Cricetulus griseus: one gene and its partners. The protein of the gene in region 6 interacts with the protein of the main gene of each other region in a biochemical or structural test. Links are inferred from orthologs where the notes say so. Each region holds a gene or a part of one and is shown on either strand. Other genes may lie near its edges.

Region 1 (3,500 bases), on a different chromosome or scaffold from region 6:
TTTATTTTACTGTTTTAGGTGCCTGTTTGTGTCCCAAGGAGAAAGAGAAAGAAAAGGTCGATTTGGGTTGATGGGGAAGGAGGACAGATCTGGGAGGAGTTGGGGGAGGGGAAACCATAACTGGAATGCATTACATCAAAAAAAAAATTTATGCAATTGAAAAAAAAGGTGCAGAGCACTTTACTAGTTGGAGGCCATGGTCCTGAAAACCTCCCTGGCACACTGGATTCCTCTTTAATAAACTCAGCTACAAAGGCTAAGCTCCAGGTTTTTTACTTGAGTACTTTATAATGAGAAGTCAGAGGAAAAAGCCCTTCAAGTAAGTACCATGTTTTCTGTTTGTTATCAAGCTGAACACTCAGGTTAAATGAATTAAGAAGAAGGGAAAAGTGAGCCTGTCACTCTATTTTACACTACACTCACAGAAGGCAAAAAATGAGAGTGTTAAGTATTAGTTTTTCCTTTTGTCAGTTTTCTAGTTTTTGCTTATCTATAAAGACAAAATCCTTATTATTAACCTATTTCTGAAAGCTATCAATAAGGTTTATTTCATAGAGGGAGTTTTACATAAGTTTCTATTTATGTTTTAATCAATGTGTAGTTTTATTTACTATTAACTATTTTGAATATAAAATTATTTTTAAAAAGCCAGAAGTCTGTAACATTTTGGTTTCAAAATAACTGAGTTTCCATATTAATTCATGAACAACAATGAAAGCAAATTATTACATTAATATACATGTAAATTCTAGAATACCTGGGTTTGGGAGAAGGGTAATTAATCAATGTATATCTAGGTTCTTACCTTTGGTGGTTTAAATGGATAATCTGAAGAAAATGTGATATCCAGAAAAAAAACACCACCTTCATATACAGAACCTGGTGGACCAAGTATAGTTGACCTCCATTCATAAATGTTATCTCCTTTAGGGCCAGCACTATTTAAAAGAAATAAAAAAAAGTCAATATACATCCTATATAAATACCTGTATACATGTCTATAAAAATTTAGGTTAACACCTAAAGATGAATACAAAATTAGAATTAAATTAAATAAGCAATCTAAAGCAATGAGATAAGTGTGCTCAAGTACACATGCATAAATTTTGAAATATTCCAAATAAACAGAAATTACAATGAAAACACAACTACTATATAACTTTACCCAACACCTCATAACTTTTGCTATTTGCCTCCTTTTCTCCCTCCTTCTCCTGCTACCCCTACACACACACACACACACACACACATTTATCCTTTCCATGTAAACACTTAACGTGTGCTCTTCCAAAAAATAATTTACAAATCAACAGTTACAATTTCAGTAACTATGTCATCCACAGTAATCTAGAATCTGTACGATAAAACTGTAAACTAACTCTAATACACTTAATATTCTCCCCCAGGTACAAGGTATTGGGATCAAGAAAATCTTATGTCTTATACTTTTAATCTATTCTGTGATGGGATTTTATTATGTAACCCCCAGGCTGGCCTAGAACTTCCAATACTCTTGCCTGCCTATTTGCAGTGCTATTAATTGCAGGCATAATCCCCCATGTGCACCTCACCACACCAATTTAAGCTCTATGCCTTAACTTTCCTTTAACATGGGTCCTATCATTACTTAATTTTTCTTTTATTTGACAAATAAATATGCAAGACCATTTGAGTTTGTCTGTGGTTCTCTCATAATGAGACTCAAACAATACACTCCTAACCAGAGAAGTAAATAAGTGGTATGTTATTTGGGGGGGTCATGACAGTTTGAAGTACATGATATGGTGTCCTTTTCCTCACTGGTGATGTTAAACTTCAGCCATAGAAGACGCCTTCCAAATTTCCTACTGCTTAGTTACTATCTTTCCCTGCAACCGATATGTATTCTTTGGTCAGATTACAACCATGCAAATAGCCTACTCTTCATTCAAATTTCTCCTCTAGATTTAATATTTATTTGGAGTCCTCTGAAATTTACTATGATATTGGCATAATGATGATTTTTCAACTCCAGTTCTTTCTCCACATTTAACAGCTGTCTTGAGCCCCGTCTTGCCCTATGTGTTTATATGTTATGTTACTGATATGGTCTCCTAAATTACTAAATCTTTTCAATGCTTTACAATTTACTACTGCTTGAATCATCCCATATTAGCCCGGTGGGAGGGCCTACAAAACAGCTTCTAACATGCTGGCAACATTTTAGAGTCCATTCTTCCTTTCTGGCATGAAAAGATGCTCTACTCTTCCAGTCCTCGAATTAGCTTCAGGAACCTTGGGTCCTTGTAGGAGAAATGTTAGGAAATCAAGACTTGAATTCTGCTGAACACATTAACATAATGCATTGTGCTCAACATCAGTATCATTTATGGAATAAAAACTAACAGTTCAATATAATCTAAACTAAATTTGTTGTTAGTAATGCAACTCTATGATGCCTATAAACATCCTTCAAACACACCTTACAAATTCCCATTTTCCTCTATTTTTTCACCCATATCTTTAATCATGTGTATATGCGGGTGGTGTGAACAGGAAGGACATGTGTACATGAGTAAAGGTACCCACAGAGTCTAGGAGACAGTTTCAGATCCTCTGGAGTCTAGGGCCACCTGATATGGTGCTGGGAATCAGATCCTCTGTAAAGGCATCATATTTTCTTAATGGCAGAGGCATGTCTCCCACCCATGTTCCTCTAGGTTTTTACACCACAAATTATCTTGGCTTTATACATGTAAATATGCATATGCTTTTGTTCTTTTAAACTACCCATCAATTTAGAAGTGATCTGGAGGTCCTATTTAAATAGTAAGTGTGAAACAGTACTGCAACCATATTAAAAGGGGGATCATTTTAACTACATGTTATTAACTCTGCAAGACTGACACCGAAAAACTAGAAAACTTCAGAAGACAAAAATCTCAACAAAAGCTATTCTATAGTCTCAAATGTTTCTATTCATGTCTTTAATTTCACTGTGGCTACTTCTGCTTTCCTGGCAGGCTTTGCAAATATTACTTGTATAAGTACCCAAATACACATGACCCAACTTCCAAATAACCAAATTGCCCAGAACACTTAAATTATAGATGACTGAACAGAAGTCAAGCTGAAGTCAATGCATTTTAATGGACTGTAGAATTACAGACTGAAAAGATGATGCTTTGGATAAATCTACCAACCCTTGAGGAAATCAAGATGGAGGGGGGAAAGAATCCATCTTAAATTCCATTATGGGGTAGAAGAGCTGAGATTCCCACTGGGAAACTAAACTCTTGATCCTATGTTTGCTTTTTTTTTTCCCTCTCTCTCATACGACATGAAAAGGGGTTCATTTAACCCTATGATAGCAGGACATTAAGTGTGACAGAAGCACCTGGCCCAAGGAGTCTATTTTTGTTTTCATTAAGGCATCATTTGGACTAGAGAGAGGCTGGGACAAATCCACCAAGAGGAATGGGAAAAGGTAGCTTCAGGACTGAGTCCATTAACTCAAAGCA
Region 2 (4,288 bases), about 96 Mb from region 6:
ATAGTACCAATCTAGTAGAGAAAAGCCTGGCTAGCTCTTATATTAAATTTACCAAAGTAGTATGTCCTAACATCACTCTCTCTTATGTCATTTCTTTCTTTTTATTGCAGCATGAAACAGCAGCAGCAATTACCTAGTCAGTGAGGTAGAGAGAAAGCTAAAAGTAACTTGTTGACTATCCATGGTTTCCTAAGGGTGTCTTAGTGTTTGGGACAAATTATAGAATGGGCTTATCTTGACTTACTTCACAGCATTTTGTTACTAGCAGTAATGGGCCAGGCAATGGTGGCACACTCCTTTAATACCAGCACTCAGGAGGCAGAGGCAGACAGATCTCTGAGTTCAAGGCCAGCCTGATCAAGTTCCAGGACAGTTCCAGGACACAGAGAAACCGTCTTGGAAAAATGATGAAATATTTTGGTTGTCACCTTTAAACTAAAAGGTGTCTTTGTCTATGTGTGTGTGCACATGCATATGTTACTAAAGAAAGTCATTGAGAAAAAATTACAGAAAGGTTATTTTTTAGTAGCCCAAACACTAAAAAATCCCATGAACTCAAATAGTTTTAATCATCCTTTAAATGAATTAAACTTTAAAAGACCCAAAAAACTAAACACACAATGGTCTGCCTATAAAACTGTATCACTAACTGGGTGAACTGAACACACACACACACACACACACAATGGTCTGCCTATAAAACTGTATAACTAGCTGGGCAGTGGTAGCACACACCTCTAATCCCAGCACTTGGGAGGCAGAGGCAGGAGGATCTCTGTGAGTTCATGGCCAGCCTGGTCTACAAAGCTACAAAGAGAAACCCTGTCTTGAAAAACAAAACAACCGCCCCCCCCCAAAAAAAAAAACTATCGCTATCAATTCTGACTGTGATATTGTAGTACAGTCAGTCATTCAAGAGATGACCAAATATGGGAGGGTGCACGGAAGTGGGTAAGTGAAGAGTTCACAAGCACTTGTTATAGTATTTCAACTCCACAGGCATCTGTAACTATGTCAAAATACAAGGGTTTTTTTTCTTTGTTGCTTTATCTTTTGAGACAAGGTTTCTGCTATGTATCCCTGGGCTGGCCTGGAACTAGTAGGCTAGAGCATTCTTGAATTAACCTGCCTCTACCTCCTCCTCTGCCTTACAAGTGCATAGGACACCATGACGGCATTGAAAATATAAAGTTTTTGGAGAGCAGTTAATGTGGGTTTTTAGAAGTTAAACGTAAATTGTTTAAAAGTTATACACCTCTTGATACAAAGTAGGCATTCAAGTATGCTGGACACTGGCCAAAGGGGTACAACTGTAAGGCAAATCTCAGTTCTAAAACCACTTTAAAATTGCTAATCAGAGATCCTAATAAAAGCACACTCTGTAAATGAATTTCAAATCCAGGAACAACATTATACTGTTGTAGTATATATTACATATAACATACTATATGTAATATATATTAGGCATTTAAGAGCATCCTTAAGACAGTGAGGCTGCTGTGCCTTCTATGTCGTGCTGTAGACGCCAGGTAATTGTGTGTCAGAGAATCTTGCATCCAGTCAGCACTCAACAAAGCGCACACTAAGCACTGATGAACAAATTCTTGCCCTTGGGATGGAATGAATACCAGACCAGATGGTCTCTGGTGGACTGGTTTCGTACTGAATTACTTCCATGGGGGCTGAATTTAGCAGGCCCCTTGCTCAAACCTCCAAATCCTTAATGCCAGTGCTGTGGCAGTTCTTTTACAAAGTGACTTTTCCCTAGAATGTTTTCAATGGAGGAAAGCGACAGAAAAAGTGCAGTTCTGGTTAAGCATAAGCCTCCCCAGAACCCACCACACACTAGATTTCACTCAAGCTTTCAATAGGAAAAAGGCAAGGCAGGTTCGTTAAGCAGAGGGGGCGCTTGCTGATGACAGAACAGCTTCCTAGAAGACTGGTATAAAAACTCTTACCATCCTCAAATGGGGTTCCTTCAGGCCTGCAACACAGAAACAAAATCAAAAAAACCCCGTTAGCGCCCGCGGAGAGGGTCCCCTTTTTGCCTGTGCTTCTGAGGAGGTGGCTCTGTCAAGGGCTCCCATCCCTGCCTCCCTTCCATCACCGCTGTCGGGGCCGCGAAAGTCACTCCGCTCCCTGTCTGGGGGCTCGGGGAGGCAAAGCAGGCCGCCCGTGTCGGCCTCCACCGCTCCCCACCCCGCCCCCCAGAACCCCAGAATGGTTCCCCCGGCAGCGGGAAGGGAGCTAATCGAGGCAGAGGCTCCGGGGAGGCGCCTAGGCCCAAGCAACCCCAAATATCCTCCCCGTTCCCCGCTGGGCTCGTCGAGGGGCCGGCCCGGGTTCTTCATCCCCGGGCAGCCGTTGGAACAGAGAGACTCACCCAAAAATGACCGCGTTCCACACCATTATGTTGTTCTCCGACGGAGCCCCGCTCACTCCGGCTGGAGGGTCTTCTTGTAACCTTCAGAAACGCACACCGGGTCCCCTCAGTGCCGCGACCCGCCGCCGGCCCCCCATCACCACACCCCGAGCCGCTCCGTTTCGGGATCCGCCCTGTGCCCCAGCAGGCAACCCCCGAACCGCCAGTCCCCAACGGACGACTTTACCTCTTGAAGTCCCTCATGAGGCGCCGCCGGGCCGGGGTCGACATGTCTCTAGCGGGGTCAGAGGTGGTACATATACCAGGGTCTCTGGTCCCAGAGGAAACGGAGGAAGCTGAAACAGCGGAGGGAGCGCCGAGAGGAACGGCACTGCCTCTGCGAAGCCGAGGGTCGGTCTGGCGCCGGCTAAGCACCACCCCTGAATAGACGGGGGCTGAACCAACCTGAGGAGAAGGGGGGGGTGAAACGGCTTACGCCGGGTAGGCCGTACCAAGACGCGAGGCTGGGGGGGGGGACGAAAGTTGTTATGTCACTCAAACCCAGTTTGAAAGCCCCCCCCCCCCCCCCGCCAAGGCTGTTGTGGAGGTGGCGGCCAAGTTCTCAGAGGAAGGCTAGCCTGGGAGTAAATGGAAGTCTTCAACCCACGGGAACTTAACAAGGGGGCCACTCTGCTTCCACTTGCTGATTTGAAGGCGAACCCTGTGAAGTTTTGCTTTTGTATTTACTTACTTTTCTTTTTCTTTTTTGAGACCGGGTCCCCTGTAGGTCAGGCTGACCTCGAACTCACAGTGTAGTTGATGATGACCTTGAACTCCTGCTTTCATCTCCCAAATGCCAGTCTTTATTTCTTATTTTATGATAAGCTCCCGCCCCCCCCCTTTTTTTTTGGTCTCCTACAGTAGTATACAATGTAACACTGGTTGATTCAAACTCACTGTGAATCCCAGAGGCTGACCCTTGAAGTCACCTCCGCCTGCCAATGTCTGTGATGACAGGAATATGCCTTCACCCTTGGCTTCTTTTGTTTTGAGAAGGAATAATTTATTAAAGTGCCAACTACTGTCTAGGTTGGAGGAAACAAGAGAGAAGGTGAAGGAGAAGAGTGGAGGAAAGAGTTGGCAGAGGAAACCTTGTCCTCAACAGGCATGAATATTAGGGTCATAATCCTGCAGACACAGGACACTGAAGTAATGGTTACAAGCGGGGCAAAGTGAAAATAAAGAACTAAATGGGTCTTGACTATGAAAATGGACTCAGGGTCCCTTTTCTTTGGGATGAGGGTGCACAAATCAATCCCAACATTTAAGCCTGGGGCTGAATGAAATGCTGTTGGGGTGGTGGTTGAAACGAGAGCTTCAGGCAGATAAAATGGACGTTTTACAATTGCTCTGGGAACTCACAATTTGTCTCTGGAACCACATTTCCCCTTGGCAATTCAACAATCCAAGCAGCTAGTTTAGAAGAGTCCAAGGTATGAGATTATCCAGCTGCAGGGCCTTGGAAGGACAGAAGGTCGGAAGGAAAGGTAACGGCAGGGTGCACGTGGAAAGCTGCGAGTTGCAAGGAAGATTCTCAGGTAGGACAGGGACCTGCAAAAGCAATAACAGTTTGAAAGAAGCATTTTTAAAGATCAATCCAAAAACCACTCAGTAGGCAGATAAGGTACACATTTGAGAATGATGGAAATTGTGAGAAAGGCCGGTTTGAGTTAAATCCCGGAGAGTTTTGAATGCCAAGCTAATGGAATCCTTGGAAGGTGGTTGAGTAGGGCAGTGACACCATTAGAGCTGGGCTAATCAGAATTTGCTCCCAAGAGAACAGCTGCAGGGCTCTTGTGCTACTGGGTGGAGAGACACTATACCAGGCAATCCCACCTCCCAGGGGCCATCCGCATTCTTTCCCAT
Region 3 (4,137 bases), on a different chromosome or scaffold from region 6:
CTGAGCTACATTCCCAGCCCAAAGCCTTTACTTTAAATTAGTGTATGCTACAGAAGTATCTCCATATTATCAATTCCAAATCAAGAGTGTCACACTGTGTTCCCCATTAGTAAACAGAAGTAGTTACTTTCTTTCCTAGTTTTAGTTGTTTGTTTTTTTTTTTTTAAACACAAATTCCAATAGAGGGAGATTAACTACAATCCATTTACCTTAATTATTGGTTGTTCTAGTAACGATACTTTTTGGAAATTAAACTGTATCCTTGAGCCAGGCATGGTGGTACAGGCCTTTAATCCTAGCACTCAGAAGGTAAAAGCAGGTAGATCTCTATGAATTCAAGGCCAGCCTGGTCTACAGAGAGTTTTCCAGGACAGCCAGGGCTACAAAGAGAAACCCTGTCTCAACCAAAAAAAAAAAAAAAAAAAAAAAAAAAGCAAAACAAACTGTATCCTTTAAAATTAACCAAGAGTTTGCTTTCAAAGTATTTTCTAGGAAAGTTATCAGATGAATTCCACTTTGTGCAATACTTCCAATATCTACAAATAAAATGTTTATATTTGACAGTACATGACATACCACAACATGGACACAATAATACCCTTTCCAATCTGTCACTAATAACTTGAGCCTTTACTTAGTAATTTTAAGCACCTGCATCTAAAAAAAAGTATAGTGTATACTGACCACAAAAGACAAAGCAAACAGTTGGTAAGGATACCACTCTTACATAATATTCTAAAAATGTCCTTTTACTAAGTATTCAGCAACTGTCACATGCATGAATGTTGAGCATACCCTATCAATCCTATTTTCAACAAAGTTGACCCAGTTTAAGGCCTGAAATTGAGGCTTTTGAACGGTAGAAAGTAAGAGTTAAGTAATTGGGTAGTCCTAAAAATACACATCACATCTACATGACTAAGATATTCGTTTAAAACTTGTGCCAAGATAACCCCTCCCTTCAAAACAAACTAAAATTGACTCACTGGCCTATTTTTCTTAATTCTGGAAATAAAAATAAATAAATAAATGGATTCCTAAACACTCATTTCCTCTGTCTCTAACCCCCTACTCCATCTTCACTCGGGGTTTCCACCCTCCAAAAAAACGCTTTAGTCAAATCAAGACAAAAAACAAACAAACAAACAAACACACACACACAAAACCTCAGTGTCTCCAAGTACTGAATTCAGGAATAATGCAGGAAAAACAAAGGAAACAATGTCTATATAGTGGCTGCCTAAGGAGCCACTCCACCGTGAGAAACCCTGTCACCTCGGATGCTTCTCATTTGTGGGACGACCCCATTTGCAGAAGCCAACCTCCTATGCAAAAGCTTTCAATTTTCTCTCCCTAAAAGTGGGAAACTATCAATCTCTCTGACTGACACATTCCACCCTTTGTGGATGTTTGTACATGGTGTGTGTGTGGGGGGGGGGGTGCTAATAAACTTGGTAGGAAAGGACAAAGGGCATTTTAAAAGCAGGGGAGACTATGAAGTAAATGGAGAACGAGGGCAGAAATAGGGCTAAATTAAAGTCCCCTCAAGCAGATGAGCAAAGCAACGCCAGCATACCACCCTCCCTTTTATGCCCCCCTCCACCCTGTCCTCTTCCTTATTAGCATCTACTGGAATCAAAAGTTAGACTACTCCTACCCAAGACAAACAAATCCTTCAAATGTCAGAGCACTAGCAACATCGGGAATGACAGGCTAATGTTCTTCCCCCACACCCCCCCCCAAAAAGAGAAAAGTCCAATCCAATAAGTGCAGGTCACCCTGCCCTCTGGGGCAGTTCCAGCCTGCGCAGAGAATGCTCGGATGGATCGAGAAAGAGAAGATAGACCATCTCTATTTCCACACACCCTCAGCTGGAGAAACAAAACAAAGGCAGCCCTCCTTCCCGGTAGCCACTACCCCAGCCACAGAGGCTTTCCTATTTCCCGGTGCAGTCTGGCCTCCCGCCCCCGCCCCATGACAAAGAAAAGGCACTTGGTGAGCAAGGCCTTCCTGCCTCCACGGATGGGGGAGGGGGCTGCGAGGTGAGGAGCCCCCTCGGCTCCCCCGCGCTCACGCTCCCGGCCCGCGGCGGACAGCGGAGCCCCGGGGAGCCGGATCCGGGAAGGGGTGGGGGGTACCTTGAAGTAGCCGCCTTCGTAGAGGGTGTTAGGGGGTCCGAAGATGGCCACCTCCCAGTTGTAGAGGTCGGACTCATCCACCAGGGTGATCCGGAAGCCCTCCACTGGTTCCTCCTGCAGGGATTTCAGCTCAAGCATCAAGGCTTTTTGCGAGCTGGTCATCTGCTGCTGGGCCATCGCGGCGGCGGCCGTGCGGGGCCGCGGCCCCAGTCCTCGCGCACCCGCCGGGCCGGACCAGGCCCCTCCCCTCCGCTCGCCCTCGGGCCGGGCCGGGCCCCTGTCTTCACACGCCTGGCGGGGCCGGATCAGGCCCCAGACGGCCCGCGGGCCCGCCCGGGGTCCTCCTCACTCTCGACGCGGACCGGCCCGGGCCCTCCTCACACTCGGGCCGGGCGGGGGCGGGCCTGAGGGAGTTGGGGGAATCCGCTCCCGGCCCCGGGCCTCCCCCCCCCGGAGGGGGCCTCTACTTGGGGGGGGGGAGTGGAGGTGGAAGCGAAGGAAGGCGGCGGAGGGCAGGCGATGGTGAAGACAGGGGGGCCGGGCTGGGCCGGGAGCGCCGTGCTCGCTTGCCCTCTCGTTCTCCGCGGGGGCCGGAGGGGCGCACGAGGGAGGGCGCGCCGTGCGCTGGGGTCTCGGGACGGTGGTGGTGGTGGTGCGGTGGTGGCGGGCGCGGCGGCGGCGCGGCGGCGGCGGCTGCAACGGGGGGAGGGGCGGAGGAGAGGAGCGAGAGCGCCTCGCGCCGCGGGAGCGACAGAGCAGAGAAGGAGGGAGGGAGGGAGGGAGAGAGAGACGGAGGGAGGGAGGGAGAGAGGGAGGGAGAGGGAGGGGCGCGCGCCGGGAGGGGGGCGGCTCGCAGCGGCAGCGGCCCGGTGCGCGTGCGCGCGCCCCTCCTTCCCCCGCCCTCCTCGCTCGGCTTTGCTCGCCTCCTGCTCCCGCCTGCCAGCTTCTCCCCCGCCAGGCCCCACGGTGGCGGCGCTTTGTGACGCCCGCGCGTGTCCCCCACCCTTAAAGAGCCAAGCGGCGGTGGGGATCAAGGGCGGGCCGCCGAGGATCGCTTTGGGCCCTAAGTGACGGTTGTGCGGCTGGACGCCGCGGTTCCAGAGGCGTGCCCCGGAAGGAACCTCAGGTCCTAAGGCTCTCGGCGCTCTCGCCCTGTGTGTGTCCCTGGCCTCCGCAGTCTTCCTGCGTGGAGCCTGGTCCCCTGAGGGCTCCTCTCAGGGACACCTGGTCTGTGGTCCTCACACTTAGTAGATGCCAGAATAAGCTGCGTCTCCAGCTGATGAAGCCCCTAGGCAAGTCGCCCACCTTAGGGAAGGCAGTCTCCCAAAGGAGAACTAGAGAAAAGCAGATAAGCTAGCTCCCGCTCCCTTTTACCGAGAGAGGTTGTGTGGAAAGAGTAGAAAGCTAATGCTGAACCTGATTCCAGGTCCTCCGAGAGATTGGCAAGAGTGCTGCTTATAGCTTACAGTACCCGATTGCAAAATATTGAGGTTGGCCTGGTATGAGCTTGGAAAGGAAGAGGGGGGACAAAAGCAGAAGGGTCAGTGTGAGGCCAACCTGGTCAAGGAACTGATAGTTCCTTGCCAGTCAGGGCTACATTGTGAGAACCTATGTCTAAAAGCAAAAGGCTGTGGTTGAACTTTTACCTCCTACAGATCCGTTCTGCTTGATCTACCTGAACATGGCATGACTGAAGAGATAGGAAGACATAGTCTTCAGTCCCTGGGGTTAGGGTACTCAAGGATTGTTTGCTACAGAAACCAGGATACTGTTGGGCGAGGTGACTCACGCCTTTGATAGGCAGAGGCCGGTTGATTGAGTTCAAGGCCAGCCTAGTCTACATAGCAAGTTCCAAGACAGCCAGAGCTACATAGAGAAACCCTGTCTCAAAAAAACAGTAACCAGAATACTGAGACAGGTTCCAAACATACCATTTTGGGTTCAGAAAGCTCCATTCCAACTCCTTGTTTGATCAGTTTCTGTAAACTGATTAGTTACA
Region 4 (3,500 bases), on a different chromosome or scaffold from region 6:
TCAAACTGAACTCTACTGAAAGAACCCAGGAATGTCAACATTTGTACAGTGGAGTGTCACTCAGGTGGTCTTCTTAGACGCACCAGAATGTGATGATTAGCATATATCACAAACTGTTCTAGTCTCTTTTAAAATTATTTTTTATGTGTTTGGGTGTTTTTCTTGCTTGTACATCTGTGTGCTGTTTACATGCCAGGTGCCTGAGGAGGCCAGAAAGAGGTGTTGGATCCCCTGGAATAGGAGTTACAGATGGTTGTGAGCTGACGCTTGAGTGATGGGAACAAAACCAGGGTCCTTGGAAGAGCTGTCAGTGCTCTTAATCCCCTTTTTAGACTCCTATCACAAAAGTGGTTCATCTTCTAAGGACCACTATTATTTTCTGCCCTGATATTCCTACTGAATGCCAGTATTTAAAAAAATGCATTATTTCTTTAGTGGAGATGAGATGGGTCAGACAGGATCTCACCACGTAGCTCAGGCTGCCCTTGAACTCTCAGTCCTTCTGCTTCATCCTCCCAAGTGAGTGCTGCGGTTACAGAAGTACACCAGCAAACCTGGTGCAGGCCAGCATCCCTGGTTCAGAATATGAGCTTTTGTTTTGGTCAGGGGTGAGTTTTAGTTTTATAGACAATGTAAACTTTTGAGAGACACAGCAACACCAATCAAAGAAACAAGCAAACAAAACCCAACTGATTAACCAAAGTTCCAGCCTCTCTCCAACAGCACGACATATTGATAGCCATTTCTTTAGACAGAGGTGGATGAGTTCAGGGGACCTGTTCTGAAAGCAGGTGTTCACTGCTGATTTGTGGTAAAAGGCCAAAATCATCAAAACAAAAGTAACAACAAAGAAAGCCTCCTTGCAACATCACCTCTAAGTAAGGTCATACATGTGGCAGGCAGAAATGGGTGCAGCCAGGAGAGGATGGGCCTGCAGTGACAGTCAACTCTCATGGTGCCATCTGATCTGACTTTACTATCTACCTGGTGAGTGAACTAAAAACATTTCACAAGGGCCTTACCCAGGAGATGGGATTTCATGACAATTAATAAAACACTGAAAAATGCAAGTTTCATGGAGAGCATGAACAAAAACTACTCTAGGATTTCTGTATTTTCCAGAGTAAATCCATATATGAGCACAATTCATAGCTGGCTTGCCCTGTAGCTAAAGCAAAGTTGTCAAAGGCACATGATCACATGCAGAGGAAGAAACAAGAGTTGAGAACCTGAGTGCAAAGCTCAGCAGAGGGCCAAGACATGCCGATAGCCACCTTAGTTTCCTGGCAAGCCCTGCTTCCTGATTTAGATCCATTCAGTTTTTTTGCTAACAGCTTATCAGGGCGCACGGCTGCTACTGCACTGGAGGTCACATCTGTGTGGTGCTGCCTTGGCTGTTATGAGATTTTAATAGCCCACATTTCTCAAATTAACATGTCTACTAGGTATCTAATTAAAGATTAAGCTATTCAATTTGAATTTTTATTGTTATGTGGTAGGAGAATTTAATGCATTCTAAAATACACTTTTTCTCATTTAAAATGAGTTTTCATTAATTTTTATCATATTTTGTTTTAAATTTCTTTTGGTAAATAATAGGTTCAGAAAGAAGTGAATGGAAAGAACCAATCTAAAAAGAACACAGTTATAGAGCATGGAAAGTTAAAATCAATGATAATGAGCAGCTGGGGTAGGGAACACTAGCAGCATTAACAGGTTCAAAGGCAACCTTGTGCTTCTCAATCTGGTACCAGATCCAGGGCCACTCACCAGGGTTGCAGTCTGTAAGGAGTGAGCAGATGGACAGGAGGACTTTAGAGATGGTCAGGGCTGGACTCCAGTTGTCCTTGAGGATGTCCAGACAGATCACCCCTTGGCTGTTGATATTACAGTGGTAGATTCTCGTTCGGAAGGTGACCTGGGAGAAAATGCAAAGTTGCCATAAGAGGAAATGGCTGAGGTCCAGGCTGAAGTTTTTAATAGATATATGAAAATAATCAATAGATTAAAAATAAAGATAATTTGTGACAGAAAACAGAGCACTCAGTAGAATCTGCACACTGCTTCTGGTGTAGCTGAGGAGTTTAACTTGATGTAACCACAGGATGTTTATGAGCAGGAAATGGGCCCGACTTCTGAAATGTTTCAAAAACTTTTGGTGGATTCTAGTTGCTTTACTTTTTACATTTAGAAGATCCAAAAAAACCCCAAAAAAACAAAAAACAAACAAACAAACAACAACAACAACAAAACCCAGAACGCTTGGGAATAATACAATGAAGATAAGTGTTCTTTAATACAGTTTTAAAACACGAATGAGGGTATATAAACGTATCACATGCCTCTTTTATATAATTTCATGTTAAAACTGTATATGTTGGAAACAGATGCAGAGATGCACAACTGAGCACTGGGGATGAGCCACAATATAAGCAAAGAGATCAAGACCATAATGGGGAAACCCACAGAAACAGTTGACCTGAGCTAGTGTGAGCTCACTGACTCTGGACTGACAGCTGGGGAACCAGCATAAGACTGAACCAGGCCATCTGAATGTGGGTGTCAGTTGGGGGGCTTGGGGGACAATATGGGGCCTCTGGCAGTGGGACCAGGATTTATCCCTAGTGCATGAACTGTTTTTTTTTTTTTTTTTTTTTTTTTTTTTTTTTTTGAGCCCATTCCCTATAGAGGGTTATCTTGCTCAACCTAGATACAGGGGTGGGGAAGGTCTTGGTCCTGCTTCAACATGGTTTGAAGGACTTTGTTTACTCCTCATGGGAGGCCTTACACACTCTGAGGAGTAGATGGGGGTTAGGAAGAATGTGGGGAGGGTAGGAGGAGGGGAGGGAGGGGGAACTGGGATTGGTATGTAATATAAAAAAGATTGTTTAAAAGAACCTAAAAAACTGTATTTGTTATAATTTATTATTACTGTATTGTTATACTTCACAAAGTTATTCCTTATTAAATTTTATATTTGAATGTACTATTAATACAATCTTTTCCTATGATAGTAAGGTCACCATTATACTTGTCTTTAATTTGTAAAGTTATGACATAAAAATATTCTAGGGAAGAATGTGACTCTGGTTAAGATAACCTTTGTTCTTGCAGGGGCCTTGGGTTTGGTTCCCAGCACTGACTGGTATGGTGACATACAACTGCTAGCAATTCTGGTTCTAGGGGATTCAATGCTCTCTTTTGGTCTTTTGCACCAGGCACACATATGGTACACATATATGTATGTACATACAACACTTATACATATAAAGTAAAATAAAAACCTTATTTTACTAATAAGTAAATATTAGTAAATTTTTGACTAAGCAACAGTAAGATTTAAATGTTACTTATTATGACCACAAATTTCTAAAAGTTCTTAAATTTATAAATAAATCTTGGTGTTCTAAGGACCTGGTACCCTGAATTTACAATTGCTCAGAACCAGGAAAAAACACACATGACAGGGAGGCCTCTGTCATTCTGCCACTCAACCAGGC
Region 5 (4,040 bases), on a different chromosome or scaffold from region 6:
GTGGGGGGGAAGAGACGTTGAAAAGCATTCACACATTCAAGGCAGTGCAGTCCTCTGGGAGAATGAACAGATACAAACTAGTGGTTCTTGAGAATCCAGGGATACCTTTACCCACTAGAGCACATTTGCCAATATCTAGAAATATTTTCCATTGTCATAAATGGGGTGGGTACTACGACAGTTCAGCAGGTAAGGTTCACAGATGCTGATGAAACATCCTACAAAGAATTATCTGGTCTCAAGGGTCAACAGAGACAAAAGTTGAGAAATGCTTGTGTAAACACAGGGCCCTTCCCTGCTGTAAACTTTCGGTACTCCCTCTCCCAAATTCATAAACTTCCCACACTTCCTTCTATCTCTCAGCTTCTCTTCCACATCTAGTCACACCAGCAGATTGCTTCCTGTGCCCTCTACTTAGAGCCATGACCATTCATTTGCCTATTCTACCTAGCAACAAGGTAGAATTGCTTGGACAAGAATAAAGGCTTAGGTAGAACACAGATCTTGAGCGGACATGTTCTGGGCTGGAGATGCAGCTCAATTGGTAGTGTTTGCTTGGCATTCATGGAGCCCTGGGTTCAAGTCCCAGCACTGCATAAAACTTGATAAAGTGGTGCTCATCTCCGATCCCAGGACTTAAGAGATGGAGGCAGAAGAATCAAGAAACCAGAGGTTGGTCTGGTGAGATAGCTCAGCAGTTAGGTGCACTTGTTTTCCTAACTCTGGATTCAATTCCTAGCACCCACATAGTGGCTAACAACTATCTCTGAAACAATCAGTTACAAGGGATCTTGCCTCTGGTAGCACCAGGCATGCAGATGGTTCACAGATAATACATGCAGGCAGAATACCCACATACATAAAATAAAAATAATAATTAAAAAAATTAAAGGTCATTGTCAGCTACATATCAAGTTTGAGGCCAACCCGGACATAAAACCCTATCTCAAAAACAAAAACAAACAAAAAATCGAAGGGGAATTTTCTCTTTTACCACTGGGAATACTCGGATTTTTTGTGCTTTGGTGAATTCTGTCATGACTTTCCCATAATTGCTGAAATCCAAGCTAGGACACACAGCTCCTCCCAAAGTCTGCTAGTAAGTCACCTGATTTAGAGGAAATGAAAGTGAAGACACAAAGGCGGTTAAAAGCCCTGTGAGTTAGAGCCTCGTCAGTCTAGGCTCCAATTCCAGACCCATCACTCCTGCTGAATATCTGAATAGCACTGGTCACTCATGCTACTCTCTCTGATATCTCGGTGTCCTCCTCTGTAAAATGGGAAGTCATAATTATCTCACAGAGTTGCTATAAAATTAGATTTAAAAAATGGCCTGGCACTCAGGATTCTGGAGCAATACAAGCAAGTTCATCTCTTAGTGTTGAGGTAGCAAGGACCCTCTGCCCCATTGTGCTCCAGCCTCCAAATTTTAGTTCTGGGATGGGCCTGCTCTGGCCTTCTCCACCTTAAAGAATTTTCCTTTATGGAGCTGAGGACAGCAAACATCCCTTCTCACCGCAAGAAACAGTTTTTCCCTAAATTCTGCAGACTAGAGGGGACCTTTGGGGAGATCCAAAGCTTGGGGGTGCCAGCTCCCGCTCACCGGCGTTTCTCCTCTACGGTCTCCAATCGTGGCTCCAGCCCTCTAGACATTCCTAAGGAAACTGCCACCTTTCCATTTTTCCAGGTAGTATTCAAACAGTGAGTGTCCCAGATAGAAATGAACACTCAAAGGTGATAAGATTTTTGTTCCTAGCCGGGTGATGATGGCACACACCTTTAATCCCAGCACTCGAGAGGCAGAGGCAGGCGGATCTCTGAGAGTTCGAGACCAGCCTGGTCTACAGGAGCTAGTTCCAGGACAACCTCCAAACCACAGAGAAACCCTGTGTCGACAAACAAACAAAAGCAAACAAACAAAAAAGATTTTTGTTCCTTTTCTTCTCCCTGCCACCTGGCACTGGACTAGTAGAAAACAGGCATTTAGCATCTGTAGCGGACTGCATAAAAACCTACTCAGGGCATATTGATATTTTTTATTCAGGAACTATTCTGTATACTTTCATTCCAGGGACCGCCCATCCCCACCCCACTGCCCATCCACATCTCTAGCTTCTGAAAGTATCAAATTATGGGTCCACCCAGTAGGTGGCGCAACAGAACTCTGCCGGTGCCTGAGATACGCCCCACTAATAAACTTTCAGCGGAATTGAAACTGAAACCAGTTTGGGGAAGCTAATTCATTCTCATACTCACCCCACATACACACCCCCTAATACAACTCGGAAAGCTGGTGACAACTCTGTCTTGTATGTCCCCCATCCTGGCCCACAAACTCCAGCCCTACACACACACACACACACACACACACTCTCATACACACACGGAGGGAGGTAGAGGCAGAGGGAGGGAGGGAGGGAGGGAGGGAGGGAGAGGGAGAGGGAGAGGGAGAGGGAGAGGGAGAGAGAGAGAGAGAGAGAGAGAGAGAGAGAGAGAGAGAGAGAGAGAGAGAGAGAGAGAGAGAGAGAGAGACTCCGCCCACTCCTTCAGTGGGAGAGTGGGAGAGGGTGAGGATGCCTGGGTTTCAGCCCACCCTAGTACCCCTGATAAACAAAAGCACTCAAAGGTCAGCCGGGGAAAACCGAGGGAGTAGAGCTTGGGGTCGGGGATCACTAGAAAGGCGCTTACCTTCGCCACCCGTTTGCTGGCTGTCATCTTGGGTGGGAGTGTGGGGCAGCAGCAGACTCCCTCAGGTCACCGCTCTCGGAACCACAGCTCCGGAGCCCCACCCACATCTGCTCCACCCACAGGGACTCTAAGACGTGCTCCCCATCCCAACGGTGGATACCTGAAGGGCGCGGTCAAGTGCCCAGATCGGTGGTCTTGAATCCCAGAAACTCAGCTCTTTGTAGATAGGAGACTAAGTCCGCGGAGCACACTGCTCCCCTTGAGGGACATCACGCAGGAGCCTTGATGGAGTACATCCCCAGCCTTCATTAGCTTCCTCCATGCGGAGAACACACTCGCCAGAGATACTACCTTTGCAAACTTAGTTCTACTGCAGGTCTCTCTGACCTCCGGCCTAAGCCTTACCTCCAGAAAGATTCTCAGAGCTCTGGGCCAGGTCACTTTGCCTTTGTGGGCCCAGTGCCTCATCCAAAAAACGAGTGGGGACAGTGTAAACTGTATGCCCCCCAAGTATCGCTCCCTTAGTTGAGTGGGATCCTAGGTGCAGTGCAGCAATTGGGCCGAGATGCTACGATAGATGCTTCTTTTAGGTTGCTTGGCGCTGAGCATCACATGTGGATGCTGTTGGACCCATTCTCTTTTAGTTTTGGATGCTCTGTCGACCTAGAACACCTAGAAAGTGCCTACTGTAAGGCGATTTGGGAAACCGATGGGTAGGAGAAGCCTTAAGATAGAGTTCAGGAGCCTATTGTATTTTACTGCCAGCCGATTACAAACTATGGACCTACGGAGTGTCCTTATGAACAGTCAAAAGAGTCTCCACCCCTCTATGCAGGGGCAGAGATGCCTTTCCCTAGCCCAAGTTGAGACCACCATGTAATTAATAGCAGCCGCCCCCGCCCCCAATATTGAACAGCATCTAGGAGAAATTCTGCTGCTGTGATGAAACTAGGGAGGAGTCCACCTTCCCCACCTAATCCCTTGCAGTCCAGAAATTAGTATATTTTGAACCCCAAGTTTTGACCCAGTATGCCGCATGATTTTTTTTTTCTCTGTCAGGGATCCATATGTCTGCTTTGCTTCGTTTGCCAATTCTGTTTATTCAACCCAATAACTTTAACCAGATACCCCCTAAGTGATGGCAATGAACAGTACACCATCAGCAATTCCCTAAATATAGGTAGGGGATGAGGGAGCAGGGCACTTGAACCCATTTCTAGTTAGTCTTAAACAAGCACTTAATACCGAGTGTCAAGCACCATTTTAGGGAACACACCAGGCTGAGAAAGTGTGGTGTCTGTCGTCAGAGAAACTCTCAGGAAATTGAAACACAGAGAATTCAGCCTCTGAAT
Region 6 (3,500 bases):
AATGGAGGCCCCTGTGGATGACTGGGGAAGAATTTATGTCCTCAGGTCCCTGTATTTTGAAACCACAGATAGCTTTTTTAGCCTCATCAGGAGGGCAGTTCCTATTCTCTGAAGTTTTGGAGAAAATGGGCTTAAAGGGAATGACATCTCTGTGCCAAGTCGATACCAGTAAATGGAAAATAGGAGTTGCCTTTGTCTACCTCCCAACTTATAAAGTCTCTTTCTACCCAAGTTGGATCTAAGCATTCCCAGCAATTTCACTGGCAGACTTTGGCCCTAGGCAGCCTACTACCTCCCCTCTTCTCCCTTTCTTTACCTCTCCTCTCTGAGCACTCTGGGATGGACTCAAAGCCAATACTGACACTACTTACCTAAGACAATCACACAAACTTCTACCAGCTGCATGACACTGGGCAAGTGACTTCCATGGCAAGTGAGTGGAGCTCTCCAAGCTTTCACTTTCTATTTATGGTAGAAGCATAGGGTTATGTAGTTCACAGGCGTTGTTAGAATCACACAAAGCCCTTTACTCTTGTGAGTGATGGGGTGGGTAGTAGGAAGCTCTTGTCATTCATTGTGTTCATATTAGAATGTGACAGTACCAAGATGAATCTTAGGTATGTTGGTGGTATTGAAGGTCAGATAAGGCTTCAGAATGAGAACAGTTGTGTGATTAGAAGACAGGGTAGAAACAAAGCAAATGATTCTGGGTTTGTATTCTATTTACGAGCATCTTAATCTACCACCATTAGACTTCACTTCCAACAGCAGCCTATATTGTTGGGTTTTTTTCTCCCCTCTGGGATCTAGTGTGTCACTTGATCATGTGAGCTCAGGTTTTCTCATTTGTTCAACACGGACCTTAAACCTTGCCTTGCAGGGACAGGACAATTGAGAGCGTGAAACTTGCTAACTCCGAGATGTGGCTTGGACTTGAGTCATTAGGTCTGGTCTGATCCCAATTCCACCTCTCAGAGTAGGAACTTTGGTCAAGTCACTAAACATCCCTGAATGAAGTTTTCCCTTACATGTGAGCTGGGGTAAATAGTAGTAGTGCAATTCCCACAGGGTTGCCCTGAGGACAGACAGCAACAAGGCTCATGGCTCATAGAGTGCTTAGTGTGGCCTCTGACACAGAGAGGACTCCTAGTAAATCTTCATTTATCATTACTGCTAACCTGTTAAAGGACTTCACATGCAGAAGAGACTTTAGAAGTGTGCATTTTCTGTCTCCCTGCAGCCTGTTTTATTGGCCTGGGTTGTTTTCTACTGCTAAAACTGGGAGATGGGCAGGGCTTTAAACTCTGCCCTGACCCCCACCCCTACCCCCGGGGCCTGAGATCTGTATCTTTTCTCAACTCCGCAACACCATGGAGCCATTGTACAAAGTGAGGGAACAGCTCCACATGATACCTATAAGGGGTCAAGATTTAAAAACCTGAGTATTTCCTAATCCACATCTGTTCTCTGATCTTCCCAGAATGGTCTTCCTTTTATTCCACAGAATTGGAGTCTTTCCCTTATGCTGTGCTAGGGAGGGACAAAATGACTTAGCAGTCAGCTGTGTGGATTTGTAAGTCAAATTGCCTGGTTCAAATCTTGGGCCTGTCAGCAGTGTGAACCTGGGCAAGCCACTTCATCTCTCTGTGCCAGTTTCTTTTCTAAAGTAGATTTACTAATACTTAAGTCTTCTTTCACTGTTACCAATAATAAGCAGGAAAATAATTCAAGGCTAATCAGGGATAGATAGTGAGACCTTGCATTTAAAACAAACAAAAAATACCAGAAAAAAAAAGTCTACATGTATCCTAGGCTCACCTCTGGCTTGCCTTTTTTCCTCTAGATGTCCAGCTCGCCGCTGTCCAAGAAACGTCGCGTGTCCGGGCCTGATCCAAAGCCGGGTTCTAACTGCTCCCCTGCCCAGTCTGTGCTGTCCCAAGTGCCCTCAGTACCAACCAACGTGAGTGTCTTCCCCATGGAGACTGGCTTGCATGATGATGGCATGGAGAGTCATTTATATCACTTTCCATTTGCCCACACCCCACTCATGCATGTTGTCTTGAACTTGTTCTTGCTCTCCATCCCCAGGGAATGGCGAAGAACGGCAGTGAAGCAGACATAGACGAGGGCCTTTACTCCCGGCAGCTGTAAGTCGGGCTGAAGTCTGCCTGAAGTGGGAAGGGGCACTGAAATAATTGGATCAGGTGGGCTGGACTGTGACCTGGAGTCTTTTCTAACTTGACAGGTATGTGTTGGGCCATGAAGCAATGAAAAGACTCCAGACATCCAGCGTCCTTGTCTCAGGCTTGCGGGGCTTAGGTGTGGAAATCGCTAAGAACATCATCCTTGGTGGGGTCAAGGCTGTTACCCTACATGACCAAGGCACTACCCAGTGGGCTGATCTCTCCTCTCAGGTACCTCTTCCCAACATTCTTTGCTCTGCATCAGCCTCTGTGTGCCACATCCCTCTCACTTATTATCCTTTGTCATCCCCCTCTTACAGTTTTACCTTCGAGAGGAGGACATTGGTAAAAATCGGGCTGAGGTATCTCAGCCCCGACTTGCTGAACTCAACAGCTATGTGCCTGTCACTGCCTACACTGGCCCTCTTGTTGAAGACTTCCTTAGTGGCTTCCAGGTACTACTTGGCCACTGCTCAACCTCCTGCCTGATTTTGTTGGAACTCATTTTTTTTGGTACTGTTCACTATTTAATGAGCTGCCTTGGGTATCAGGCATCATACTGGAGAGCAGAGAGGATGCAGGCAAGATGGGAACCTGGGCATGGCTTTTAGGGGAAAGTTGTGTATACAGCATAGTAGTTATGAACAGACTGGAGGCAAAGTGTCCTGTTTTGTCTAGCTCTTCTAGTATAACTTTTAGGCAGGTCACATAGATCTTGGGCTTTACTCTTCCCATTTTTAGAATACAAATGGAAGCAGTACTGACTTCATGGGGTTCCTATGAGGTTAAGCATGAAGAATAGCAACTTGGACACAGGGAAGGTGGCATAGGCATTTACTAGTTTAAAAAGTCTAGGCTGTGAGAACTGAAAGTCTGTCCCATGAGGCTAAGGTCCCCAAGGGCCAAGGTACTACAGCAACAACAATCTGACACAGTTGTGGGAGCTCATCCTGGTGGGCAGAGATGGATGCTCTTGGAGAAGATGGAGAGCAGTTTTAAAAATTATGGTGGAGTGGGCAGCATCTTGAGAACCACTAACAGATAGGTGTGGTATGAATGAGCTCAAACTTTGGCTGGAGACAGTTTTGCCCTGTCTGTGTCTCACAGGGCATGGCAGGTTTGTAGGCAGTTAGCAAAAAGTGAGTCAGCTGTTCTGCAGTCTGTGCCCAGTACACTTTACCTTTCCCAACATGCTCCAGGCCTTCGCTTTCTCCTTGCTGTATTTTCCTCTCACTGAATCTGATCCTCAAGTCTTTATGAGAGAGGCCTGGGAGGAACAGGAGGACCTGGACAACTCTGTCTTCAGAACTGCCTGAA
Region 7 (4,090 bases), on a different chromosome or scaffold from region 6:
ATGCTTGGTACATTATAGCTGGTATCTTCCTGCTCACCAAAAACCCTGGAAAGGGAACATCCATTGTTATTCAGATCACTGAGCCTGGACTACACGAGGCCCTGACTACAGGAGAGCCTGTCTCCAACTCAAGAATGCACTGTAGCCAAGGACTGTGAACTGATCCTCCTGCCTGGCAGAGCCTTGGGATTACAGGTCTGGGGACTGAACCCAGGGCTTCAAGCATGCTAGGCCAGTTCGCTACTATTTGAGGTACCAAATAAAGTTGATTTTGTTTTGGAGACAGTCTCCCTATCTATATTCAGACCTCCTGGACCTCTCTTTGTAGAACAGGCTGACTCTGAACTCACAAGAGATCTATCTGCCTGCTTCTATTTCCAAGGACTGAGCTGATAAAAGGCCTGTACCACCATGCCCAGAACTAAGTTTTTAACTTCCATAGCATAAACAGACAAACTATATCCGCAGAGAAATCCAATTGTTTATACTCTACTTTTTTATACCTGTCCATTTTCCTCCCACTATAGTTACAAACACACTGAGGGCCTTCTAGCACAACACAAAAGCTGCACTGACCTAAGGGGGTGGGTCCAAAGCAGAGTGAGGATGGAGAGATTAAGAACACTGGGAGAGAGAAGCGCCATCTTCAGCAAGGAGGGGAGAACCCAGGCTCAGAGACAGTTCACATGGGCTTAATCAAAGAGGGCAGGTTAAGACTCAGGAGGGCCTGAGATACTATCACACCAACCCTTTGAAAATGAGAACAACCTTACCAAGGCAGCTCGACACCCTCTCAAGACCTGATCATTAACTATGGAGAATGGGCTGAAGTCACTACCATCAGGCCAGTTAGGTCACTAAAACAGTATACCAAGAATTTCAGGTCAGGGAAAATGACAGAACAAACTGTCAATCTGAGTTCCAGGCTCACTACTCAGCAGAGAGAGCCAAAGTCACTTAAATGTCCCATTTCATTTTAAATTCTAGTCCAATTTCCATTCCTTGCTATGGTTAACTATCTCAATGAAAAGAGAAGGATTTTTGAAAGGATGTCAGGGGCTTCCCAGGTCTCTGCTAGACTACAGGGATCAGGGAATGTCATTAAAGGTTGACAGAGACAAAGTATTCACCCGTCTTTTTACATAAGAGACTAACCCTCGGTGTAGTGAGTGGCTCACTCCTGAAGGCCAGCCTGGGCTAGAGCATAAGACACTGTCTAATAAAACAACAAGGCCTCCTTGAAAACTATCAAAATGAAGTTCTTAAACAAACAAACAAAACTATCTCTTCTTAAACAAGCCAACAAAACTATCTCCCAAAATACCTGAAATAATCATTTTACTGTTATTTACTGACTCATCTGCCCCAAACCGGAAAAGGCTCTTCAAATTCCACCAGAAAACATCACCTCAGTTTCTTAAGCACTAATGGGAGTTGATTATTCCTTAAGCAAGTTATGGAGAAAACTCTATTCAGAAAACGTCATCCCTGCAACAGGTGAGGAAGAGAGATGGTCAGAATTCATTGACAGAGTTCCCGGAAGGTACCCTTAATTATAAAGGAGGGTGACAGCCTCTGAGAAGTCACAGATTCGTGATTACCAGGACGAGGACTCTGAAATCACATTCAGAGTCACTCATAAAAGTAATGAGGATTCTCGAAACTTCATCAAGAAATAGACGAGGCCAGCCACAACTGCTGCTTATGGGCAAGGGCATTAACAAAACCAGAAACAGTAAGCAGGAGAGAAAACAGGTGGGACTCCATGCCCCATTTTCCTGCCAGAGAACATATGAGAACGTCGTTGAAGCCACCCTCCCTGACATGCAGCACGAGGCAACTGGGAAGCTAGGACTCCTGGAGAAAGGAGTGGGGTACCTCTTGGCGCTGGTGGAGAGGAGCTTCGAGTTTTTGCTCATGCTGACTTTACTCTCCTTCTTCTTGGGGGTGCTGGCTTCTTTCTCGGTCTGCTGGTTGGAGGATGAAGATGAAGAGGAGCTGGTGCTGGCCCTCGAATCGTCATCCGACATAGCGAACCCCCCACCCCACCCCGCGAACGGCCCCTGCAGGGGTAGGAAACAAAACAGAAACACAGACCATGCAGGCGCTGCAAAGAGGGAACTCCGCTGTCAGGAGGGCGCGGGCCGGGCCGCCCCCGCCGCCCTGCAGAGGATCGGGGCCCACCGCCGCACCGGCCGAAGATCCGCGGGGGCCGCGATCGCGCGGGGGCGGCCCGGGTAGGGCCGGGAGCCGCCGCCGCCGTCCCCGAGGCCTCCCGGCGTCCCCCTCGAGTTTGGCGAGGTCGGGACGAGCCGGGCAGGGAGAGTGGGTGAGGAAGCCGAGCGTGGGCCGCGTGGGCCGCGGGACACGGCGCCTGGCCAGGCCCGGCCACGCGGGGCTGCGCTCGCAGGCCGGCGCGCACAATGCGCCCCGGGCGGGCGGGTCCCCGCGGGGACCGGGCCGCGCTGACAGTTCGCGCGGTCCCCATCGCCCCGGCCCGCCGCCCCATCCCCGCCGCCCGGCCCTCGGCGCCCCCGGCCCGGCCCTGCTGCCCGCGGCCCGGCGGTGCCGCCCGCCCCCGGCCCCGCGGCCCCAGGCCCGCGGCCCGCCCGCTCGCCGCCCGCCCCGGGGCCCCCCGCACCTCTCTTTGTGTCTGGCTGCTCCGTGCCGCCGCGGCGGCTGCTGCTGCGGCTGCGGCTGGGCCTGGCCACTCGTGTCTCGCTCTCGCTGGGAGAGAAGCGGAAGTGCAGCAACAGCAACTATTAACCAGGCAATGGCTTCCCCGGCCGCACACGCTCCGCGCCACTCCTCCTCTCCGCCCCGCCCCGCGCCCCTCCCCCGCCGCACCTGGGGGCCGCGGCCCGGGATCCCCGAGCGACCCCGGCGTGGCCTGGGGACCCGGAGCCCGGCGGAGCCGAGGGAGCCCGGCGGGATGGGGGAGACGACTGCGTTCAGGTGGAGCCTGGGGTGATCGGGGGAAGTTCTTCCCAGGAGGGCTTTAGGAAAGGGCTGGGGGTGAGGGGGCCGGTGTCGGGGGGGAAAGATGGTACTCTCCGGGCGAGGACTTTGACTCCTCCTCAAAAGTGGCCGGTGTAGAGAAAGAAAGAAAAAAATCCCCCAACAGGATTTTCCTTTGGGCTGACACTTGTTTCTCCCTCTGGCAATTTAACTTGCTAGGAGCAGAGGTCACGCCTGTGAGAAAAATCCCAGACTCGGTTTCTGTTCAGGATACCAGGCGTGAGCAATTTACAACATTAGATACAACCCCTTCACTTGTTATAGAAAAGGATGTGGGGGTTTTTATGTACGCGATTGGAGTTCATGACAGGTAACTGGGATCTGTAACCGGGCTTGGGAGTTGTAAGATCACTGGGAATAAACCTTAAACTGCCGGTTTTGACAAGACTTGGAATTCTTAAATTAGGTATAAAGTCTGAGTTTTAGAAATTGAAAGAAAGCTCTAGAAAGCACCCTGCTTTCGCTCCAGTACGATGCTATTCAAACAATAATTTTAGAATAATCACACAGTAATGTCACTAAATTGTTCCTTTCGTGGCACTGTACCAAATTTTATTTTTGAAAACATTCCACCATTAAATTAGGGCTTAGTTTCTTGCCTGTTTGTCGTTTGCCCTGAAGGTAAAAACAAATCCCTATAGTCCAAGTACAAGGTACCACAGACACAAGATCTTGTGTAATGCCCAGACAACCGCACTCAGATTTCCATGGTCCACTTCAAATTATCTCATTCAAATTGTCATTGCCTCCCAAGGCAACCGAGTCTTCAGTTACTGTAACACATGATATAAAGCTTAAGGCATATATAGTAACCAGGCAAGCAGGCATTCTCACTATACGGGTAAACCCCTTCTAGCCTTTAATCTGAAACTCCAGCTGGGTCTGTAAGATTCATAAAGTAATTGTGCACTTTATTCACTCAGTCTCTAAGGAAATCTGTACCTAATAGGAGTTGTCTCCAAACACATGTAAAATCACTGGTGAGACTTCCACAGGTCATCATTTTGAGCCTCCTGTCAAAAAGAGCTGTTCCTCCACTACCCAAAGCATATGCATTTTTGAAGAAATGTGT

What was found.
Region 1: of the proteins of Uba1 (region 6) and Ube2e3, one has a biochemical effect on the other in vitro, tested with the Homo sapiens proteins (3 studies listed by BioGRID, with this or other methods). The link is inferred for Cricetulus griseus from reciprocal best matches to the Homo sapiens genes UBA1 and UBE2E3.
Region 2: of the proteins of Uba1 (region 6) and Ube2a, one has a biochemical effect on the other in vitro, tested with the Homo sapiens proteins (6 studies listed by BioGRID, with this or other methods). The link is inferred for Cricetulus griseus from reciprocal best matches to the Homo sapiens genes UBA1 and UBE2A.
Region 3: of the proteins of Uba1 (region 6) and Ube2r2, one has a biochemical effect on the other in vitro, tested with the Homo sapiens proteins (5 studies listed by BioGRID, with this or other methods). The link is inferred for Cricetulus griseus from reciprocal best matches to the Homo sapiens genes UBA1 and UBE2R2.
Region 4: of the proteins of Uba1 (region 6) and Ube2e2, one has a biochemical effect on the other in vitro, tested with the Homo sapiens proteins (4 studies listed by BioGRID, with this or other methods). The link is inferred for Cricetulus griseus from reciprocal best matches to the Homo sapiens genes UBA1 and UBE2E2.
Region 5: of the proteins of Uba1 (region 6) and Ube2l6, one has a biochemical effect on the other in vitro, tested with the Homo sapiens proteins (2 studies listed by BioGRID). The link is inferred for Cricetulus griseus from reciprocal best matches to the Homo sapiens genes UBA1 and UBE2L6.
Region 7: of the proteins of Uba1 (region 6) and ubiquitin-conjugating enzyme E2 E1, one has a biochemical effect on the other in vitro, tested with the Homo sapiens proteins (9 studies listed by BioGRID, with this or other methods). The link is inferred for Cricetulus griseus from reciprocal best matches to the Homo sapiens genes UBA1 and UBE2E1.

What each region holds. Positions count from the first base shown.
Region 1 is NC_048599.1:96,236,147-96,239,646, forward strand, and holds part of Ube2e3 (ubiquitin-conjugating enzyme E2 E3), read right to left. Parts: intron 939-3,500; coding exon 806-938; intron 1-805. UniProt on the Homo sapiens protein: Accepts ubiquitin from the E1 complex and catalyzes its covalent attachment to other proteins. In vitro catalyzes 'Lys-11'- and 'Lys-48'-, as well as 'Lys-63'-linked polyubiquitination.
Region 2 is NC_048604.1:29,641,392-29,645,679, forward strand, and holds the start of Ube2a (ubiquitin-conjugating enzyme E2 A), read right to left. Parts: upstream 2,801-4,288; 5' UTR 2,654-2,800; coding exon 2,610-2,653; intron 2,465-2,609; coding exon 2,384-2,464; intron 1,985-2,383; coding exon 1,959-1,984; intron 1-1,958. UniProt on the Homo sapiens protein: E2 ubiquitin-conjugating enzyme that accepts ubiquitin from the ubiquitin-activating enzyme E1 and transfers it to a E3 ubiquitin-protein ligase. In vitro catalyzes 'Lys-11', as well as 'Lys-48'-linked polyubiquitination.
Region 3 is NC_048595.1:101,456,931-101,461,067, forward strand, and holds the start of Ube2r2 (ubiquitin-conjugating enzyme E2 R2), read right to left. Parts: upstream 2,801-4,137; 5' UTR 2,316-2,800; coding exon 2,139-2,315; intron 1,996-2,138; exon of another isoform or gene 1,752-1,995; intron 1-1,751. UniProt on the Homo sapiens protein: E2 ubiquitin-conjugating enzyme that accepts ubiquitin from an E1 ubiquitin-activating protein, and catalyzes its covalent attachment to other proteins by an E3 ubiquitin-protein ligase complex.
Region 4 is NW_023276807.1:175,704,053-175,707,552, forward strand, and holds part of Ube2e2 (ubiquitin-conjugating enzyme E2 E2), read right to left. Parts: intron 1,919-3,500; coding exon 1,771-1,918; intron 1-1,770.
Region 5 is NC_048599.1:90,735,785-90,739,824, forward strand, and holds the start of Ube2l6 (ubiquitin/ISG15-conjugating enzyme E2 L6), read right to left. Parts: upstream 2,801-4,040; 5' UTR 2,716-2,800; coding exon 2,689-2,715; intron 1-2,688. UniProt on the Homo sapiens protein: Catalyzes the covalent attachment of ubiquitin or ISG15 to other proteins. Functions in the E6/E6-AP-induced ubiquitination of p53/TP53. Promotes ubiquitination and subsequent proteasomal degradation of FLT3.
Region 6 is NC_048604.1:125,477,351-125,480,850, forward strand, and holds part of Uba1 (ubiquitin-like modifier-activating enzyme 1), read left to right. Parts: intron 1-1,843; coding exon 1,844-1,960; intron 1,961-2,088; coding exon 2,089-2,147; intron 2,148-2,245; coding exon 2,246-2,414; intron 2,415-2,503; coding exon 2,504-2,638; intron 2,639-3,500. UniProt on the Homo sapiens protein: Catalyzes the first step in ubiquitin conjugation to mark cellular proteins for degradation through the ubiquitin-proteasome system.
Region 7 is NW_023276807.1:175,441,574-175,445,663, forward strand, and holds the start of ubiquitin-conjugating enzyme E2 E1, read right to left. Parts: upstream 2,801-4,090; 5' UTR 2,642-2,800; intron 2,488-2,641; exon of another isoform or gene 2,101-2,487; coding exon of another isoform or gene 2,098-2,100; intron 2,064-2,097; 5' UTR 2,031-2,063; coding exon 1,879-2,030; intron 1-1,878. UniProt on the Homo sapiens protein: Accepts ubiquitin from the E1 complex and catalyzes its covalent attachment to other proteins. Catalyzes the covalent attachment of ISG15 to other proteins. Mediates the selective degradation of short-lived and abnormal proteins.